Anolis sagrei: one gene and its partner. The protein of the gene in region 1 interacts with the protein of each later gene in a biochemical or structural test. Links are inferred from orthologs where the notes say so. Each region holds a gene or a part of one and is shown on either strand. Other genes may lie near its edges.

What was found.
Region 2: of the proteins of PRKCA (region 1) and MGMT, one has a biochemical effect on the other in vitro, tested with the Homo sapiens proteins (2 studies listed by BioGRID). The link is inferred for Anolis sagrei from reciprocal best matches to the Homo sapiens genes PRKCA and MGMT.

What each region holds. Positions count from the first base shown.
Region 1 is NC_090022.1:181,293,332-181,304,377, reverse strand, and holds the start of PRKCA (protein kinase C alpha type), read left to right. Parts: upstream 1-5,737; 5' UTR 5,738-5,961; coding exon 5,962-6,137; intron 6,138-11,046. UniProt on the Homo sapiens protein: Calcium-activated, phospholipid- and diacylglycerol (DAG)-dependent serine/threonine-protein kinase that is involved in positive and negative regulation of cell proliferation, apoptosis, differentiation, migration and adhesion, tumorigenesis, cardiac hypertrophy, angiogenesis, platelet function and inflammation, by directly phosphorylating targets such as RAF1, BCL2, CSPG4, TNNT2/CTNT, or activating signaling cascade involving MAPK1/3 (ERK1/2) and RAP1GAP.
Region 2 is NC_090023.1:193,690,252-193,701,691, reverse strand, and holds the start of MGMT (methylated-DNA--protein-cysteine methyltransferase), read left to right. Parts: upstream 1-6,375; 5' UTR 6,376-6,396; intron 6,397-11,440. UniProt on the Homo sapiens protein: Involved in the cellular defense against the biological effects of O6-methylguanine (O6-MeG) and O4-methylthymine (O4-MeT) in DNA. Repairs the methylated nucleobase in DNA by stoichiometrically transferring the methyl group to a cysteine residue in the enzyme.

The DNA of each region.
Region 1 (11,046 bases):
CGCTCACTGAGGCTCTGCCAGGAAGGCTTTTGACTGAAAGCCAGCAGCAGGCAAATCATTCTGGAAGAAAATGAAAAATATAACAACTAGCTGCCCCCCGCCACACGTTGCTGTGGCCCAGTCTAGTGATCTGCAATATAAAGTAAAGAGAAAGTGTTGGTTTCTAATATATGTCATTTCTTTATGCTTGTGGGTAAACAGTATTTCTTGCTGTTTCTTTGTCAGTGTTGATGTGGAGATTGTCTGGTTTACCTAATCAGGAACATGTCCTTCTTTAGGGGTTCCTTTCACATCTATGATACTATATCTCTCTCTGTGTGAATCATATCTATCTATATCTATGGCTGGATGGCTCTTTGTCAGGAGGGCTTTGATTACGTTTTCTTGCCCTGCTGAAGGAAGTAGGACTGGATGTTGGTCATGGGGGTTCTGTGTGGGAAGTTTGCCCCAATTCTGTCATTGGTGGGGTTAAGAATGCTGATTGTAAGTGAACTATAAATCCCAGTAACTACAACTTGCAAATGTCAAGGTCTATTTCCCCCAAACTCCATCTGTGTTCACATTTTGGCGTATTGAATGTTTGTGCCAAGTTTGGTCCAGGTCCATCATTGTTTGAGTCCACAGTGCTCTCTGGATGTAGGTGAACTACAACTCCCAAGCTCAAGGTCAATGCCCACCAAACACTTCCAGTATTTTCTGTTGGTCATGAGAGTTGTGTGTGCCAAGTTTGGTATATGCACAGAGCATATGCTCTATGCATAATGAGTACCTTAAAAACAAAAGAACCAATGAACGAAATCACACCAAATTTGGCAACAAAACGTCTCACAATACAAGGAGTGACCATCACTCAAAAAATTATGAGTTTGTCATTTGGGAGTTGTAGTTGCTGGGATTTATAATTCACCTACAATCAAAGAGCATTCTGAACTCCATCAACAATGGAATTGAACCAAACTTGGCACACAGAACTCTCATGACGAACAGAAAATACTGGAAGTGTTTGGTGGGTATTGACCTTGAGCTTGGGAGTTGTAGTTCACCTACATCCAGAGAGCACTGTGGACTCAAACAATGATGGACCTGGACCAAACTATATATATATATATATATGCTGTTTCGAATAGGGATGTGGGTAGCAATACTATTTCAGTTATGCTTAGGGTACTCTACGCTATAGAATTAATGCAGGTTGACACCACATTAACTGCTTATTTCACAACAACTCAGAGGTTTTCCATTACATTCATGCTACACACCTACACACTGCAGCCAACACACTAACACAGACATTTCAAGCTGTGTGTCACGGTACATTATTGTGTAGGTGTGCCATATGAACATAGCAAGAAACCTCTGAGTCTATGTGAAATAAGCAATAAATCATGTATTTTTTTAAATGAAAGGTTTTCATGAGATATCCTAGGCTGCCATTCATTTTGTTATTACGCTTTATGTATGCACCTGTCTCTCTTAAAAGAGGTTGGTTTAACCTCCAGTTTGTTAGTTAAACTGAATGACTGTATTGCAAAACAACCCATGTCTATAAAGCGTGTCACCAACATGAAGTGTTTGGAAAGCTCTGCACTAAGGAGTGGCAGCACACAGTTTGGAAAGCTATAGATTTTAAAGGCCATTTGAAGTGTATTTATTGTATTGCAGTTCTGCTTTTAACCACACTGTTACTGTTTAATTGTTTTTTAACTTTTGTATTGCACTTTTAAAACTGGTCTAGTCTGGGACTGTTAGCTGCCTTGAGTCCCCATGGGGAGAAATGTGATGTATAAATAAAGATAATAATAATAATAATAATAATAATAATAATCCCCCTAAAGCCACAGGTCCGCAGTTTGGGTGTCCTCTTGGATTCTTCGCTTACACTTGAGGCTCAGGTGTCGGCGGTATCCGGGAGGGCCTTTGCGCAACTCAGACTTGTGCGCCAACTGCGACCATACCTCGTGAAGGCTGATCTGGCCGGGGTGGTCCACGCCTTGGTCACCTCTAGAATGGACTACTGCAATGCGCTCTACGTGGGGCTGCCCTTGAAGACGGCTCGGAAACTTCAATTGGTCCAGCGGGCAGCAGCCAGGATGCTAACCGGGGCTCATTATCAAGAGAGGTCAACCCTCTTGTTCAAGGAGCTCCACTGGCTGCCGTTTATTTTCCGGGCCCAATTCAAGGTGCAGGTGCTCACCTACAAAGCCCTGAACGGTTTGGGACCACCCTACCTGCGTGACCGCATTACCATCTACGAACCCACACGCTCGCTCCGGTCATCTGGGGAGGCCCTGCTCGTGATCCCACCTACCTCGCAAGCGCGTTTGGTGGGGACACGGGACAGGGCCTTCTCTGTAGCGGCCCCCCGACTCTGGAACACCCTTCCAAAAGATCTCCGACAGGCCCCTACTCTGGCTGTCTTCAGAAGGAACTTAAAAACTTGGCTGTTCCGTTGTGCCTTCTCAGACTAGAAATTCCCACCCAAGTCCTAGTAGCACCTTAACATAACTAATCGCTGCTGCACACTGCACTTTTAATCCGACGTGCCTCCTACCATTTCAGCACTTTTAACCCTTGTACCCCATTGCGCCGGCCGAACCAGTTTTTAATATTGTATTGATGTATCGCCGTGGTCGTTATTTTGCTTATTGTTTTGATTTGCTTTGTATTGTTGTGTTATGTTTCTACTGTATTGTGTTTTAAGGCTTTGGCCTGTGTAAGCCGCATCGAGTCCTTCGGGAGATGCTAGCGGGGTACAAATAAAGTTAATAATAATAATAATAATAATAATAATAATCTATATACAGTGTATGTATGTATTTTTCAAGAAGGCCCCAACTTTCAGAGAGCATTGTAACTCCTGTCAACAATTAATCTGGACCATACTTGGCACAAAACACAAAGACCCCACAAGCCATGATGCACTTTATAGCCTGATGCAGTTAAGGGTAGGATAGAACATGGATGATGGGATTTGCAGTTCCTTCATCCGCTTTGGCTCTGACTTCCACAGACCATTGCGATCCCTACCAATGACGGACCTGGACCAAACTTGGCACACAGACCCCCCTTGACTCACTATACCAGGCATGGGCAAACTTGTGCCCTCTAGGTGTTTTGAACTTCAACTCTCACAATTCCTAAGAGCCTCAGGCCCTTCCCTTTCCCCCCTCAGCTACTAAAGCACCTGAGGGGGAAAAGAAAGGGGTCTGAGGATGCTAGGAGTGGTGGGTGTTGAAGCCCAAAACACCTGGAGGGCCCAAGTTTGCCCATACCTGCACTATATATCCACATATTCCAGTTCAAAACAGTAAAATGGGATTTTATTCAGTTGTGTGGAAGGGGCCTTGGAAGAACCTGCCAAGTATACTGAGGAGAGGATGTGTGTGTTTCGCCTTTGTAAGGTTCACATTCTCTGACGGGAATCACTCAAAAACAGGCTACTTTAAGGAGTGAATAGGAGAAGCAAAAAAAGTCTTCATTGCACCACCTCATCTCCTCTCAGGGCCCATCCACGCATCCCTATATCCCAGAATATCAAGGCAGAAAATCCCACATTACCTGAGTATGGACTCAGGGCCTGTCCAGACAGTACCTTTATTGTTGTATCTACTGCAATAAAGAAGGGGCTGTCCAGACAATGTTGTGGATAGACCTGAAATTAATTCGCTACAAACCAGGAAACCCCTGGTTTGTAGCGAATTAATTAGATAGTGGGTTTATTCCGTGCCTTCTTGGAAGGCATGGGATAAACCCACTATTGTAGTCCAGACACCACTCCCTCAGTTTACCAGGCTAAATAAGCCCAGTAAACTGTGGGAATACCCTTTCCCCAACCTCCCAAACCCCTTTGAAAAGTGAAAAAAAAACTTACCCAGCCTCCAGTATATTCTCTGAGCAGCTCTCCCTGTGCGTACAAATGATGCGCCAGGAGAGCAGGTGGGGGGCACCTCTCCTTTTCCTCCTCACTCTCCCCCCCCCCGCTCTCTTGGCATCTCGGAGAGTATACTGGAGGCTGGGTAAGGTTTTTTTTACTTTTCAAAAGGGTCTGGGGGCTTGGTAGGAGGGGGGCAGGACCTCCAGATGTTCTCCCGGGATTGGCCCAGGAGAACGTCTGGACACCCACCCCAAAAAGTACACACTTTCTGGGGTGTGTGTGAACAGGCCCACAGGAAAATCCACGTTTTTAAAATGCGGATTCTCCTGGGATAATGGCCTGTCTGGATCTGCCCTCAGATAACCCAGTTCAAAGCAGATAATGGGGGATTTTCTACCTTGATCTTCTGGGATATAGGGCTGTGTGGAAGGGCCCTCAGATAGAGTTGTGTGGAAGGGCCCTCAGATAACCCAGTTCAAAGCAGATATGATGGGATTTCCGCCTTGATATTCTGAGATATAGGGCTGTGTGGAAGGGCCCTCAGATAACCCACTTCAAAGCAGATATTGCGGGATTCTCTACCTTGATATTCTGGGATATAAGTCTGTGTGGAATGGCCCTCAGAAAACCCTGCTCAAAGCAGATATTGTGGGATTTTCTACCTTGATATTCTGGGATATAGGGCTGTGCAGAAGGGCCCTCAGATAACCCAGTTCAAAGCAGATATTGCGGGATTTTCACCGTGGGATATAGGGCTGTGCGGAAGGGCCCTCAGATAACCCAGTTCAAAGCAGATATTGTGGGATTTCCACCTTGATATTCTGGAATATAGGGCTGTGTGGAAAAATCCCCAGATAACCCAATTCAAAGCAGATATTGTGGGATTTTCTACCTTGATATTCTGGGATATAGGACTGTGTGGAGGAATCCTCAGATAACCCAGTTCAAAGCAGATATTGTGGGATTGTCTGCCTTGATATTCTGGGATATAGAGTTGTGTGGAAGGGCCCTCAGATAACCCAGTTCAAAGCACATATTTAGGGATTTATGCCTTGATATTCTGGGATATAGGCTGTGGAAGGTCCCTCAGATAACTCAGTTCAAAGCAGATATTGCAGGATTCTCTACCTTGAAATTCTGGGATATAGGGCTGTGTGGAAGAGCCCTCAGATAACCCAGTTCAAAGCAGATATTGCAGGATTTCCGCCTTGATATTCTGGGATATTGGGCTGTGTGGAAGCGCCCTCAGATAACCCAGTTCAAAGCAGATATTGGGGGATTTTCTGCCTTGATATTCTGGGTTATATGGCAGTGTACTATTCCATATATTCCAGTTCAAAGCAGATAATGTAGGATTGTATGCAGCTGTGTGGAAAGGGGTCTCCCTTTCCTCATGATCTGCTTTGAACTGGATTATATTCAGTGTGGACTCCTATCCTCCAGTTCAAAGCAGATAAAGTGATTTTTATATGGCAGTGTCAGATGTGTGTGGGGCATATTTTGGAAAGAGAGAGAGAGAGACCATTTGGTGAATCAGGCCCGCGTGATTCCGAGCAGCGGGGCGTGCCTCTGAGCTTGGCAAAGCCACAGGTGAAGAAGGCTCTCCGGAGGGAGGGGGGGCCTCCTTTGGGAAGCGCGCTCCCTTCACCCCTTCCCCGAATCCGCGCGCACGCTGGTTGCCCTAGAGACGGGCTTCCCCGCTGTTCCCCGTCCGCGCGCCCTCCTGTCCCTCCCTCCCTCCCTCCGCGCGCCCCGTAGCTGGGCATTGGGCGCCACTCCCTCCCTCCCTCTTTCCTTCCTTGCTTCCTTCCTGGCGGGTGGGCGGGGCCGTCGGGGTTGGCCCCGAGCGGGGATCCTCCTCCTCCTCCTCCTTTTTCCCTCAGACGTCAGGAGGAGCCCGAGCGGGCCGGGAAGGCAGCGCCCAGCCGCGCCACGCAGCCCAGCCTCACTCTCCCTGACGGGACGGGACGGGACAGGACTGAACAGGGGCTCCTCCGCCCGCCGCCTTGCCTGGCTTGGGCCGAGGGAGCGAAGAAGGGAAAGGCCGGTTGGGTGGGCGGGTGGGTGGTCTGCCTGCCGGTGCGGCCATGGCGGACGTCTTCCCCCTGGTGGAGCCCGGCTCGGGCTCCGAGGAGGTGGCGCAGCGCTTCGCCCGCAAAGGGGCCCTCCGCCAGAAGAACGTCCACGAGGTGAGGAACCACAAATTCATCGCGCGCTTCTTCCGCCAGCCCACCTTCTGCAGCCACTGCACCGACTTCATCTGGTAAGGAAAAGAGAAGGAGGAGACGCAGGAAAAGCAGGCAGGCAGGCAGGCAGGGCTCGAAACACACCGGGGTCTCTCTCTCTCTTCCCTCTTTTCTGCCTTCCTCCCTTCCCTCCCTTCTTTCTTGCCTTCCTCCTCGCTTTCATCTTGCTTTGCTTCCCTGCTCACCTCTTTTTCCTCCTTCCTTGCTTTTCTCCCACTCTCCCTCCCGCTCTCATCCTTTCTTTTGCCCTTCTCTCCCTTTTCCTTTCCTTCTCCTTCCTCCCCTTTCCTTCTTTCCCTCCCTCCCTCCTTTCCTTTCCTTCCTTCCTTTCCCTTCTTCCAGTCCTTCCTGCTCTCCCCCTTCTTTTCCTTCCCTTCCCTCTTTCCTTCCCTCCCTCCTTTCCTTTCCTTCCAGCTCTTCCCTCCCTCCTTCTTTTCCTTCTCTTCCTTCCCTCCCTCCTTTCCTTTCCATCCAGTCCTTCCCCCCTTCTTTTCCTTTCCTTCCTTCCTTTTTCCTTCCTCCCTCCCTCCTTTTCTTTCCTTCCAGTCCTTCCCTCTCTCCTTCTTTTCCTTTCTTTCCTTCCTTTCCTTTCCCCCTTCTTCCAGTCCTTCCCTCCCTCCTGCTCTTCCCTTCCAGTCCTTCCCTCCATCCTTCTTTTCCTTTCCTTCCTTCTTTCCTTCCTTCCCTCCCTCCCTCCTTTCCTTTCCTTCCAATCCTTCCCTCCCTCCTTTTTCTTTCTTTCCTTCCTTTTCCTCCCTTCTTCCAGTTCTTCCTTCCCTCCCTCCTTTCCTTTCCTTCCAGTCCTTCCCTCCCTTCCTTCTATTCCTTTCCTTTCATTTCCTCCTTTCTTTTCTTTTCCTCTCCTTTCCTCCTCCTTCCCTCCCTCCGTCCTCCTGTTCGAGTCCAGGCAGGCAGGGAGGCGTCTACTGTGTCTACTTGGCGAGTCCTCCTCTGCTTCTTCCCTTCCCTTCTGCCTTTGCCTTTCTGCCCGGAGCAGGAAGGGAACCAGGTTGGAGGCGCTGCTGCGGGGAATCCCGCGGAGAGGAGCCGGCTTCTTTCCGACCCCAAGCCCTTGCTTGGAGTGAGCTTCTTCCCGGGTACCCTCCTGGAGAGCTCTCCCTCTCTCTCTTTCCCTTCCCTTCCCTTCCCTTCCCACAGAAGGCAAGACACTTAGCTTGGTTGCTATACCTCTCCTGCCTATGGCAGTGCGGTTGCTGTGCCTGCCTTCTTAGGAACACACCCCTTCCCAGGACTGTCCCAGTGAAAGAGCTTTCCAGGCACTCTCACAACTTCTCCTTTGGCAGGGAGCCTTGGCATTGCGGCTTGAGAGATGGCTAAATGCCAGACCCCCTTCAGAGGTGCTTCTTCCAAGTTGGTTTCCTTTCTTTTGCTTCCTCCCAGCACACCAACCCCTTCTGCCTTAGGAAAGTGACAGTTTGTCATGTGCTTTAGTGCAAAGAAGGGCATCCTTACCTGTGGATGGGCGATCACTTGTGGCTGATCCAGAGGTAGAGTCTTCTAGTTCTCTGTGTTTTGCCACAGTGGGAGCAGAGATTTCCAGGTGGGAGGCAGTCACGAGAAAGATCGGCTTGATGTGCCTTCCTCTTGACATGTTTCTCCCTTTCACTCGCTTCAAAACTGGTAATAGCTGATCTCCAGCTATAACACTCAAGGGCTGAGGATGCCCAGTTCTCTATGTTTATTCCACATTTTTAAGGATAGCCTTAAGCCTATCTGTAAATCTCTTATATATTTTTTCCTTCCATGCAGCCATATAATCCAGAATATCAAGGCAGGGAATCCCACAATATTTATTTATTTATTTACTGTATTTGTATATCTTTCTCAGCCCGTAGGCTGAGATGATAAAAACATCAAATCATCTGGGCGTCCCCTGGGCAATGTCCTTGCAGACGGCCAATTCTCTCACACCAGAAGCGACTTGCAGTTTCTCAAGTCGCTCCTGACACGACAAAAAATAAATAAAATAAAAGGCCCTAGGCAACTCAAGGTGGTTAACAGGATAAAATTCAATGCTTACAATATCATAAATATAATTTAAAAACATAACATATAATAAAAAATTAAACATATCAATCTATATAAATAAAAATGTAATGTTCATTTGTGGAATTAACATAACTCAAAAGCCACTGGACAAATTGACACGAAATTTGGACACAACACACCTAACAGTCCAATGAGTGTCCATCACTCATAAACACACACACACAACCCCAGAGGAACAGACTTAAAAACCCCAAAAATACACCATACATACATACACACATACACTCATATATAAATGCACATGCACACATTCATACACGCGTATATATATGCACAAATACACACATATATACATATACACATACACACACATATACATATCCACATACATTCATATATACACACAAATGTGCATATAAATAAGCACACACATATACACAATATGCATGTACACATATAAACACAAAAACACAAATATATACACACGTATATGAAAACACACATATATAGACAAATATATACACAATATGCATGTACACATATAAACACACAAATACACAAATATATACACACACTTATATACACACACGTATATACAACCAAATATATATATGTAAGCAAAAACACATATATACACAAATATATACACACATATGCACAATATGCATGTACACATATAAACACACAAATACACAAATATATACACACACATATACACATATATACACACACAAAACATATACACAGACTGGGCCACAGCAACGCATGGCAGGGGACGGGTAGTAAAATATAAATTCATAGTGTCTCCTTGTTAAAAAGGTTGTCCGGTCTCATTGTTGTTGTTCCATTTTCCTATGTCAGTTACTCTGCATTTAGAAACGCTTGTTCAAAAAGCCACCTATTGACTTTTTTTCGGAATGTTAAAAGGGAGGTGGCCGATCTAATATCTATAGGGAGGGTGTTCCACAGCCGAGGGGCCACCGCCGAGAAGGCTCTGTCTTGTCTCCGCCAAACAATATCTGAGTCCACACTGTTTGTTCAAAGCAGATCATGTGGGATTTTATTCAGCTGCATGGAAGGGGCTGAAGATTCTGTTTTCTGTTCTTCAGTTGAGAATAAAGTAACTGGGTTCTGTAATCCCCACTAACTGTGTCACTTTGGTTCTCCTGCCCCACCCTGCAGTTATTTCCAAGCAATAGTCCTCCCTGAGATGTTATCTGCTTCCCATTTCCAATTGGGTCTCCTTTGCTGGATCCAGGCCCAAAGCCAGGATTTTGATTTTGGGGGGGGGGGGCTGAGGATCTACCCTAGCAAACCTTTTGTATTGTTACCCCAATACCCCCATGCATATGGGATATATTGAGTATGGTGATCAGGTAATGATATGAATAAACATAACAGTTTAAATAATGTACCAGTAAAGCCTTCTCGTGGACACCCTGAGAATTTTGGGGGGAGGCTGAAGCCCCTCAAGCCCCCCCCCCACCCCCGGCTATGGGCCTGGCTGGATCCGATGGGCTCAGTTCTTGATGTCCTTAGCCACAGTGTGGCTATTGATCATGACAGGTATTCCACCTGGAAGTCATGTCAAATCTGTGGTCTTTGGATGATGCTCCCAGAGAAGGAATGGGTAGACTGCATCTCACTTTATTCAGCAAACACTGGCGTCAGAGTAAGAGAACTGCACCAATTGTATCCCAGTGTGAAAGCAGTGGTGTATTGAACTCACTGGCTGTATTGAACTGGGTTGCTGTGAGTTTTTCAGGCTGTATGGTCATATTCTAGAAGCATTCTCTTCTGACATTTTCACCCACAACTATGACAGGCATCCTCAGAGGTTGTGAGGTCTGTTGGAAAATAGACAAGTAGGGTTTATATATTTGTGGAAGGTCCGGGGTGGGAGAAAGAACTTTTGTCTGCTGGAGGCAAGTGTCAATGTTGCAGTTGGCCACCTTGAATAGCATTGAATGGCCTTGCAGCCTGAATATTCCACAATATACAACAACTTGCATACGTTGTTGTAGGTTTTTTCGGGCTATATGGCCATGTTTCTAGAGCCTTCGACAATACATTATCAGTTGCCTTGTTTCCAACAGACCACACAACCTCTGAGGATGCCTGCCATAGATGTGGGTGAAACATCTGGAGAAAATGCTTCTGGAACATGGCCATACAGCAGCCTAGTGATTCTGGTCATGAAAGCTTTTGACAATGTATTGAACTGCTTGATTCAATAGCTCAGGGGTGGGTAACTTTCATAGGTACTATGTATTTTTACTGTATCGGGGGTCTTCTGAGTGGCCTATGCCCGGATATATATATGCACACTTTCAAGTCACCTGTTCAGTTATGGCAACCCCATGAATTTCATATGCAATGATTTTGCCAGTACCTTCCTTTGAAAGATAGTCTGCAGTGTCTGGTATTCTTATGCCCATTCAAATATTCACCAGGTCTGATCCTAGTTAAGGATTTGGTACCCTTGTAGGGATGACAAACCCACTTTCATCGAGGGCCACATCAACCTTATGGTTGACTTTAAAGGTTTGTTGAATCTATGGACGGAGAGTCCATCGATATGGAGGGCCTATTGTAATAGTGGTCAGTGCTTTTTAGTGTTTATTCAGTTTGGGTCTCCAGATGTTATTGAACACTAGTGCGTATCACTTTTGAATGTCACCATGCAGACTGGGGATAATGGGAATTACAACACAATAGCACTTGTGGCTTAGTTGGGGAAAGATTAAAGGACATTTTAAAATCAAACATTGTATTTAAATTCAAACCTAACTCTCCTGACTAAACAGAACACACTGCAGCCTCCCAGATGTTACTGTTTTGCAACTGCAATCATCTATAGTCATGAGGTCATGAGGTCTAATGATGAGGAATACAGAGGTTGTACTCTGACATCTG
Region 2 (11,440 bases), on another chromosome or scaffold:
ATTGATATTTATTTATTTATTCCTGATTGTTTACTATTATTGGAAATTTTCTAATGAAAATGACCTATTTAGTCTTCCATTCAGAGTAAAGACACTCGTTTAATTAATAGGAAAAACAACATGAGAAGAAAATGCAACATATAGATTAAATATGGGGGGGGGGGGGGACTGGAAATAATTCATCCAGGCCTTTTTTGCACTGCTGTATAAAATCCAGATTATCTGCTTTGAACTGGATTAGATGGCAATGGAAAGGGGCCTAAGAGTATAATCCTGAAAAGACAAAGATCTCTTCCACACAGCTGAATACAATCCCACATTTTCTGCTTTGAATTGGAATATATGGCAGGGTGTTCTCGGATAACCCAGTTTAAAGCAGATATTGTGGGATTTTCTGCCTTGATATTCTGGGTTTTATAGCTGTGTGGAAGGCCCCTAAGAGTGCTGTAGAATTAATGCAGTTTATACTACTTTAGCTGCCATGGCTCAATGCTATGGAACCATGGAATTTATAGTTTTCAAGGTCTGTAGCCTCTCTGCCAAGTTGTGCTGGTGCTTCATTAAATTGCGAGATTTTATTCAGCTGTGGGGAAAGGGCCTACAAACCCCAGGATCCCATAGCACTGAGCCATGGCAGTTAATGTGTTATCAAACTGCATTAATTCTATAGTGTAGATGCACCCTGGGCCTGCAGTTAAGTGTTCATATAGGGCCCTTCCACACAGCCATATAACCCAAAATATCAAGGTAGATTATCCACAATATCTGGTTTGATCTGGGTTATCCAAGTCCAAACTGCCTTATAATCTAATTCAATGTGGATTTTATAATGCTGTGTGGAAAGGGCCGTAGAACATTACTTGTGGAGTGAAAAGTAGACATTGTATTGGTTTGTGGTGAGTTTTTTGGGCTGTATGGCCATGTTCCAGAAGCATTCTCTCCTGACATTTCGCCCACATCTATGGCATCTATGGCAGGCATCCTCAGATAGGTCCTCACAACCTATGGATGCCTGTCATAGATGTGGGCGAAACCTCAGGAGAGAATGCTTCTGGAACATGGCAATGCAGCCCAGAGAACTCACAGCAACCCAGGGCCGTTCCACACAGCCCTGTATTCCAGAATATCAAAGCAGAAAATCCTGCAATATCTGCTTTGAACTGGGTTATCTGAGTCCACACTCAGATAATGTGGGATTTTCTGCCTTGGTATTCTGGGATATAGGGATGTCTGGAAGGGCCCTCAATGATTCCAGCCATGAAAGCCTTTGACAAGACATTGTACTATTTTTCCACTATAATATTTGATCTGCATTGGCTGCATTATTCAGATTGTTAATTTATGGTGGTTTTTTTCTGAGCAGCCACAATGAGGATCAAATCTGCACAGGTTTCTAAAAATAAGATGCAAATGATGGATTGTATTCTGAGTTGCGAAAGAAGTGTTCCAAAATATATTTACAGCCTTATTATATTGTAAAGCCAATCTTTATACAAAGTGATTCTTTGCAATTACCTTGAAAAGCACCACGTTTTACATATTTTACCCTTAACGAATAGGGCTCTTTACTATTCAGCGATTCAAATTATTTGCTAAATTTCAAAACCAATTGGTACAAACCGTTAGGAGTTTTAATTATTGATTCGAAACCTTCAGATTATTGATTGGAAACATTGATTTACCCACTCAGTGTTTTTTAATGAAGCCGAGATTAACATGACTTTTTTACCTTCAGCAAAAAAATAAAATAAAATAAATCCCTTGCCATGGTTTTCAATTGTAGCAAAAAATTAATCTCCTGAACTAAATGAATACAACACCAGACTGAAATACAGATACTAGTCCTCCACTCCTCTGGAAAAAATATGTTTGTGGTAGCAGATAATCTTAGGGTGCATCTTCACTGTGGAATTTATTTATTTACCTATTTATTTATTTACAGTATTTTATTTTATTTATTTACAGTATTTATATTCTGCCATTTTCACCCCACAGGGGACTCAGGGCGGATTACAATACACATATACATGGCAAACATTCAATGCCATTAGACATATAACATATATAAACAGACACAGAGGCAATTTAACATTCCAGCTTTTCCGGCTTCACAAGGGCATGCTTGATTCCGGCCACAGTGGGAACTGCCGCTTCACCATCTATTTGTGATCAAAAATCCTTTGATGGAGTACTTCCTCATTCTTCTGCACACAGCTGGAAGGTTTTATGGATTGTAAATTAGTTAAATTAGCCTTCCTGCATAAGTTTCGATAAAGGTTTCCCTTGACATTAAGTCTAGTCGTGTCCGACTATTCGTGCTCATCTCCATTTCCAAGTTGTGCGTAGACACCTCCAAGGTCATGTGGCCGGCATGACTGCATGGAACGCTGTTACCTTCCCGCTGGAGCAGTACCTACTGATCTACTCACATTTGCATGTTTTCAAACTGCTAGATTGGCAGAAGCTGGGGCTGACCGCGGAAGCTCACGCCACTCCCCGGATTTGAACGTGTGACCTTTCAGTCAACAAGCTCAGCAGCTCAGTGGTTTAACCCACTGTGCTACCGGGAGCTCCTGCATAAAGTGGTACCTAAATTTCATACGCAACTGTCTTTCGTGCTGCATAGGTCGACAGCAAGCTACACTCATGACTGGAATCTCGCTCACTCCAACCTGGTTTAATCCACTTTAACACCACTTAAACAGCCACAGCTCAGGGCTCTTCCACATAGCCATATAACCCAGAATATCAATGCAGAAAATCCCACAATATCTGTTTTGAACTGGGTTATCTGAGTCCACACTGCCATATATTCTGGTTCAAAGCAGATAATGTGGGATTTTATTCAGCTGTGTGGAAGAGTTCTCAATGTTCTGGACTAATGAGAATTGTGGTTATGCAAGGTCTTTAGCCTTCTCTGCTGGTGCCTCACCAAGCTACAAATCCATGGCTTCCACTGATTGCATTGAGCTATGGCACTTAAGGAGAAACGAAAGCACCAGGGGAAAAGACTGGCGCGCGGAGCATGCTGGGAATGGTAGTCTCCCACACCAGAAACCGAGACGCTCAGCTAAGAGCGCTTGAACTACAAGTCCCACAAGGCAAACGCCACTTTGCCCTGCAGTTTCTCTCCCACTGTTTCTTTGAGCTTTGGGAAAGTGAGTGCACCATCTTCTTTTGCAACTTGTGAGTATAAACAAAAGCATATATTTTTAAAAGCCATTGCCAGCAAGAAAGCGAATTGAGGCAGTTTGGAGCGAGTGCGTGTTTGTTTACCCAGAGCCCGTCTACATTGTAGAATTAATGCAGCGTGGTACCACTTTATCGGTCCTCTTCACTGGGATTTGCCCTTAGGTGAGGCACTAGCACTCTGTCAGAGGAGGGTAACGCCCTTGTCAAACTACAGCTCCCAAGAACCCATAGCATTGATCCATGGCAGTTAAAAGTGGTGTCAAACAGCTTTAATTCTACAGATGCACCCTTAGCCCACTTCTACACTGCCATGTAATCCAGATTATCAGACCAGACAATTCTAGATGGCCTGTTTTGAATTGGATTATATGAGTCTACACTGCCAAATAATCCAGATTATCAGAGCAGACAATCTAGATGTCCTTTTTTGAATTGGATTATATGAGTCTACCCTGCCAAATAATCCAGATTATCAGAGCAGATAATCCAGATGATCTGTTTTGAATTGGATTATAGCACCGGGATTGTGGCGCAGCTGGCTGAGTGTCAGCTGCATTAAGATCACTCTGACCAAAAGGTCATGAGTTCGAAGCCAGCCCGGGCTGGAGTGGGTGTCCAGCCATTGTGTAGCCCGTTGTCGACCTTTGCAACCCGAAAGACAGTTGCATCTGTCAAGTAGGAAAATAAGGGACCACCTTGTGTGGGAGGCTAAATTTAACTAATTTATGAGGCCATAAAGAAAGAAGACTCCGGGGAATGTGGAATGCGGAAGAACTTCATCGGTGTCATTGATGGACGATGAAAAGCAGCAGCTCCCCTGGCGGCCAGAAAAAAAAAGTTAAATAGCCTTTGTCTGTTAAATGTTGTTTGTCAAACTGGCATTGAATGTTTGCCATATATGTGTTTACTGTAATCCGCCCTGAGTCCCCTGCGGGGTGAGAAGGGCGGAATATAAGAACTGTAAATAAATAAAATAATAATAAATATGAGACTACACTGCCAAATAACCCAGATTATCAGAGCAGACAATCCATATGATCTGTTTTGAATTGGATTATATGAGTCTACCCTGCCAGATAATCCGGATTATCAGAGCAGACAATCTAGATGTCCTGTTTTGAATTGGATTATATGACTCTACCCTGCCAGATAATCCAGACTATCAAAGTTGATAATCCAGATGATCTGTTTTGAATTGGATTATATGAGTCTACACTGCCAAATAATCCAGATTAGCAGAGCAGATAATCCAGATGATGTTTTGAATTGGATTATATGAGTCTACACTGCCAAATAATCCAGTTCAAAGCAGCTAATGCTGGTTTTGATATGGCAGTGTAGAAAGGACCATAGAAAACCGCTGTGAAAGCAAAGTTGGTGAGTTGAGCCATTTAGGGAGCATCTGCACTGCAGTTTGCAGTTTGATACCGCTTGACCTGCCATGGCTCAGTGCTATGGGATTTGTATCTTTACAAGCCTTCTCTGCACAAGAGGGTTGGTGCCTTACCAAACTACAAATCCCAGGATTTCATAATGTTGAGCCCAGGCAATTAAATTGAGCTCAAACTGCATTCTACAGTGTAAATGTACTCTTAGGGCCCTTCCAGACAGTCCCTATATCCCAGGATCTGGGCCACTTCCACACAACTGAATAAAATCCCACATTATCTGCTTTGAATTGGATTATATGGCAGATAACCCAGTTCAAAACAGATATTGTGGGTTATTTTGCTGTATGAAAGGGCCCCTGATCTCAGGTTTTCTGTTTATCCCAGATTATCTGGCAGTTCAGACTCGTATATTTAAGTTTAAAGCAGAAAACCTGGGATCAGATCCTGGGATATAGGGCCTGTCTGGAAGAGCCCTAAGAGAGCTCACACATGGCTGGTATGTGGCACCATGTGTCTTAGGGAATTTTACCAATTTATTGGCGAATAGAACAAGCTTAAAATAGATATATATGAATAGGCAGTCCCCAAGTTACGAGCAAGATAGGTTCTGTGGGTTTGTTCTTAAGTTGAATTTGTATGTAAGTCAGAACAGGTACATTTTAAAGTGTAACTCCATCCAGATATACACCTTATAAGTGTAATTCCAGCCATTCACTTCACTTAGGTGATCCCTCGTTGGCCGAGTAGGATAGTCTTCCAGGATCAGTATTCTTGTGGATCCGTAGGTGACTGTGGAGCCCTATTCTTGATTTGCGTCTTCTCCCGCAGTGAGGCCATTGATTTCCAGGTGGAAGGCGGTCTCGGTTGGGGTTGGCTTGACACGCCTTCCTCTTGGCACATTTATCTCTTTCACCCTCCATTCGTGCCTCTTCAAATTCTGCAGCACTGCTGGTCACAGCTGACCTCCAACTGAAGCCCTCAAGGGCCAGGGCTTCCCAGTTCTCAGTGTCCATGCCAGAGTTTTTAAAGTTGGCTTTGAGCCCATCTTTAAATCTCTTTTCCTGTCCACCAACATTCCGTTTTCCGTTCTTGAGTTTCGAGTAGAGCAACTTGCTTTGGGAGACGGTGGTCGGGCATTCGGACAACGTGGCCGGTATAGCGGAGTTGATGGCGGAGGACCATCGCTTCAATGCTGGTGGTCTTTGCTTCTTCCAGCACGCTGATGTTTGTCCGCCTATCTTCCCAAGAGATTTGCAGGATTTTCCGGAGGCAAATTCCAGCCATATATACATATTAAAAATTTACACATTTAAGTGTAACTCCATATACATTGTGTCCAAATTTGGTGTCAATCCGTCCAGTGGTTTTTGAATTATGTTAATCTCACAAATGAACATTACATTTTTATTTATATAGATATTTTCCAAATGTGTGACATGTCCAGGCTAGCCTTTTTTGCCTAGCTTTCCACGTTTCCTCTTTGGATGGTCTATGTCCTTAAAGAGTGTTTGGCTTCAGTCCCACCCCACCCCCCTCCCCTTTCCCAGGCATGCTTCCTGTTGGTTTTCAGCTTGTTTGTTTTATCTTCTTAGCTCGGCTGGAGTTGGTGATTTTGTAACATGCTGTGCATTTCTCTGGTGGACGAAGGCAGTGTCAGGCTGGGGCATTCAGACGAGGGAGCTCTCAAAAGGAGAGCCGTATTTCAAGAGTGTCTCTGAAAGTTGACTTCTTAATAAAAAGGCCCCAGCAGGGTGGTTTAGAAAACAAACAACTTTTTATATAGCTAAGATTATCTCCATTCCCCATTAGTCTGGTAAGTCTTGCGGAGCCTTGGCCTTCCCCTCTCCTAAATATTTTGCAATTGGTTCCACTTTTCCAGAATTGGCTCTTTTCACATAGACTGGTTGCTCCTGATGCACATGGTTTTCATGACATAGCTGTGTTATTGTTCATAGTGGTGATACATATTGTTTAAATTAATCACAATTATTTGGTGTATTAGTGTTCAGTTGTCTTCCAAGCCCTGCATAGTTATTTATCTAGCTTTTTTAGAACAGAAAAGTAAATACTGCTAACTTGCATGATTACCATTATTAATATGAATTTGTAACAGAATATATATTTTTGGCAATAGTTAAGCAAGTAGAGTAAATGAAAGGAATTAAGATTTGATGGACAGGACAGCTGTGGTTGCACATTTGTTGCATCTGTGCCCTGTTCACACATATAGCAGAACTCTTTGGTTTTCCAGTTCAGATGTTTTCTGCAAGTGGCAGAATAAAACCCTTCCGTCATCTTTTCCTTACCATCATACTCTATTCCAGAGGTCCTCAAACTAAGGCCCAGGGGCCGAATACGGCCCTCCAAGGTCATTTACCCGGGCCTCGCTCAGGGTCAACCTAAGTCTGAAATGACGTGAAAGCACACAATAACAACAATCCTATCTCATCAGCCAAAAGCAGGCCCACACTTCCCATTGAAATAATAATAAATTTATATTTGTTAAAATTGTTCTTCATTTTTATTATTGTATCGTTTGTGTGTGTGTGTGTGTGTGTTTTTGCACTACAGATAAGATATGTGCAGTGTGCATAGGAATTCATTCATTATTTTTTTTTCAAATTATAATCCGGTCCTCCAATAGTTTGAGGGACTGTTACCTGGCCCTCTGTTTAAAAAGTTTGAAGACCCCTGCTCTATTCCCATCAAAGCTGAAGTACAAGATAAGGATACCAATGCTTTAAGCAGGCCAAAATTATACATGGTTTTTGATCTTGCAAATACTCAATGTGAGCTGAGGACTTCTTGCAGTGTTGAAGAGTATTATATTGTGCATACTTGTTCAGGATTTGGTATTGCGTTTTAATAATTGTGTGATATTTATATGTTTTAATTGTTTATTGCATTGATGTACTGTATTTTATGTTATTGAATATGCAGCATTAAATATTACCATTATTTATGCCTGCAAGGGTGGAAAGCAGGATAGAAATAGAGTAAATATATGCTCTATTCTGCCTGGACTGGAACACTGTGGAATTTAAGGGACATGTTGACAAGCTGGAACGTGTCCAGAGGAGGGCAACTAAAATGATCAAGAGTCTGGAGAACAAGTCCTATGAGGAGTGGCTTAAAGAATTGGGCATGTTTGACTTGCAGAAAAGAAGGCTGAGATGAGAGGGAGGGAGCAACTTGTTTTCTGCTGCCCTGGAGACTAGGGTGTGGTCCAATGGCTTCAAATTACAGGAAAGGAGATTCCAAAACATTAGGAAGAACTAAACATTAGGAAGAACTTCCTAATGGTGAGAGCTGTTCAGCTGTGAAACTCCCTGTCCTGTAGTGTGCTGGAGGTTTCTTCTTTGGAGGCTTTTAAGCATCTGTCAGGGGTGCTTTGAATGCAATTTTTTTTGTTCTTGGAGTGGGTTTGACTGGAAGGCCCACAAGGTCTCTTCCAACTCTATGATTCTAAATAAATAAATGTATGAAGGTGACCATTAACAAACTAACATGTATGACTAAAATGCTGGAACAGTTGCAGTTCTCTGTAGATTAGCTCAGCACTGGCACGACTGTGGCTATGTTGCTTCCATTGCTTTTGTGAGAGAAAAGGAATCCTACTTGAAGGCTACTCAGCCTATATTATCATAAAAATTATGAACCAAAGTGAATCCAGTCCCTCTGTTTGCTCCTTGAGTAAGTAGTTCTGGCAAGATGCTCCAAAGTGTTTTGACTTGTATTCCCTCTAGAATTTATAGAGTTACAACTAGGAATAATAACTCATTACAAATTAGGTGGTGTCAAAAAAACCCAGAAAGAATATGAAAGAAAACAAGTTATTTTCCAAATTTGAATATTCACTTTTCAAATAATGAACATACATTTTTTTCTGACAGTGTTCCTCCTACTCCCTCAAATTACAGGCAGTCCCTGAGTTACAAACATCTGACTTACAAATGATTTGTAGTTAAGAACGGGGGCGAGACAACTGGGAGTGAGAGTAATCTACTTTTCAGAAGGGAAATTCACTCTTGAAAGAGTTATCACGGGGGGGGGGGGGGGGAGCTTTATCACCAGTCCTTATTTCCACAACAAGCCACATGTTTCAAAATCCAATCCTCACCGAGACCTAAAGTGGGGTTAAATCTTCTGAACAGAGCCAAAGATAGCAAAATAAATATCACAGGGGTGTTAACCCTTTCCTGTGCTACCCAAAGCTTATTTATTTGTTTCGTATCAAAAGCATTGCATAAATTAGTATAAAACCGATAAAATAGAAGTAGCTCAGGTGGCTAAATATCTTTTGACCAAGCCTCCAACAATTCTTCCTCTGTACATGAGGCAGGGCATAGTGGACGAGCATACAGATGCGGAGTTTTCTATTCTGTTCCACAATCACATAAGGTGTGGGATTCTTTTAGGTAGTGCTATTTTACTAGGTTGTCGTTTGATCTGCCCACTCCGAGTCTGTTCAGAAAGCTAATATATATCTATATTCGGCCGGAGCTACTCTTACAAAATGTCCCTGTTCTGACTTGCATACAAATTCAACTACAGAATTTATCTTTTTTCTAACTTGGAGACTGCTTGTCCTCCTAAAATGTATATAATGGTAAGACTTTTTTTATCATTACAATTCTTGGTCTTGACATCCTTTTCTCAGTTCGTTTCCTGATGCTATTGAAGATTAGAGGAGAATAATTAATTTTCTCTCTTTTACTAATATTGATCCCACCCTCACTGTTCCTGGTAAAGTGCCAAAGCCAAAGATGTTCCTTTGGATTTTTCCAGAGTAATATCCTATGATTATTCATCGCCTTTATGTAGTAGCCAAAAGCTTTGAAGGGTCTGTTAAAAGACTGTACCTTTGCACAGATGCCATCTTTCAGAATAGGTACATATTTCGGTATAGCTTACAATTTCAACTAGGTGTACTTAGAAGCTAGCATCAGCAACTTTTTATCTGCAGCCTGAATGATCCATGACAACTTAATTACACCACTTATGCAGCAACTGCACCGATGCTCTATAGGAAGCAATAGTAGTTGTACTGTAACTTATGTTTCTGTGGCTACTTTATCTCCTGATAACTCCGTAATTAACTTGTCACCACTGTTTAATGCTTAACGTATGTAGAGAATCAGTTAATGGCATCACTAAAGCGATAGTAGCCTGAAGGAGCAGCTCATGCCCACTGGGAAGGCTATCAGGGATTGCTTAAACACAAAACACCCGGGCCTGACCTGGAAAGGCATTAGGAAGCTTGTTCATTAGGAAGCTTTGGAGAGAATGTTTAAAAGTGTTACTGAGACAGGCACGTCTGGTATTCAACTGAAAACACAAACTTTGGGATCATAGTAAACTCAAGCTGCAAGGGATAGAAATACAGATTGAGTGCCTACCCCTCATCTGCAATTCTTTGGAGCAGAAGTGTTCCATATTTTGGATCCTTAGATTTCACTTGGATCTACTGAATGAGATATTTTGGAGATAGGTCCCAAGTTTAATCTCAAAATTAATTTTTACACTTTATACATATGTCCTGAAAGTAGTTTTATACACAACTAGCCACCCCTGCCACGCGGTGCTGTGGTCCAGTCTGTGTATATGTGTTTTGTCTGTGTATGTGTATATGTGTATATATGTGGTTTTGCGCATGCATAGTAATGTATTTTTTTTTGGCTTTTAAGTATCTTCCATTGTGTGTTTTTCAGTGTTTTTATGAGTGATGGTCACTCATTGGCCTGATAAGTGTACTGTGTCCAAATTTGGTGTCATTTCGTCCAGTGATTTTTGAGTTATGTTAATCCCACAAATGAACATTACATTTTTATTTATATACATACTAGCCGTCCCCTGCCATGCATTGCTGTGGCCCACATGGGGGTTCTGTGTGGGAGGCTTGGCCCAATTCCATTGTTGGTGGGGTTCAGAATGCTCTGTGATTGTAGATGAACCTGTGGCGTTCCTCAGGGTTCCATCCTGTCCCCCTTGCTGTTTAACATCTTCATGAAGCCGCTGGGTGAGATCATCCGGAGTTTCGGGGTGCGGTGTCACCTGTACGCAGATGACGTCCAACTCTGTCACTCCTTCCCACCTGCTACTAAGGAGGCCGTCGAAGTCCTGAACCGGTGCCTGGCCGCTGTGATGGTCTGGATGAGGGCGAACAAACTGAAATTAAATCCAGACAAGACAGAGGTACTCCTGGTCAGTCGCAAGGCCGAACAGGGTATAGGGTTACAGCCTGTGCTGGACGGGGTCGCACTCCCCTTGAAGGCACAGGTTCGCAGCTTGGGTGTGACCCTGGACTCATCACTGAGCCTGGAGCCTCAGGTTTCAGCGGTGACCAGGGGAGCATTTGCACAGCTTAGGCTCGTGCGCCAGCTGCGCCCGTATCTTGGGAAGTCTGACTTGGCCACGGTGGTACACGCTTTGGTCACATCCCGCCTCGACTACTGCAACGCTCTCTACGTGGGGCTGCCCTTGAAGACGGCCCGGAAGCTTCAGCTAGTCCAGCGCGCGGCAGCCATGTTGTTAACGGGAGCTGGACGCAGAGAGCATACAACGCCTCTGCTATCCCAGCTCCACTGGCTGCCGATCTGCTACCGGGCCCAATTTAAGGTGCTGGTGTTATCCTACAAAGCCCTAAACGGTTCCGGCCCAAAATACCTTGCAGACCGCATCTCGGCCTACGAGCCCACGAGGGCCTTGAGATCATCCGGGGAGGCCCTTCTCTCGGTCCCGCCCGCCTCACAGGCACGCCTGGCGGGGACGAGAGAGCGGGCCTTCTCGGTGGTGGCCCCCCGGCTGTGGAACACCCTCCCTGCTGAAGTTAGACAGGCGCCCTCCTTGATGGCCTT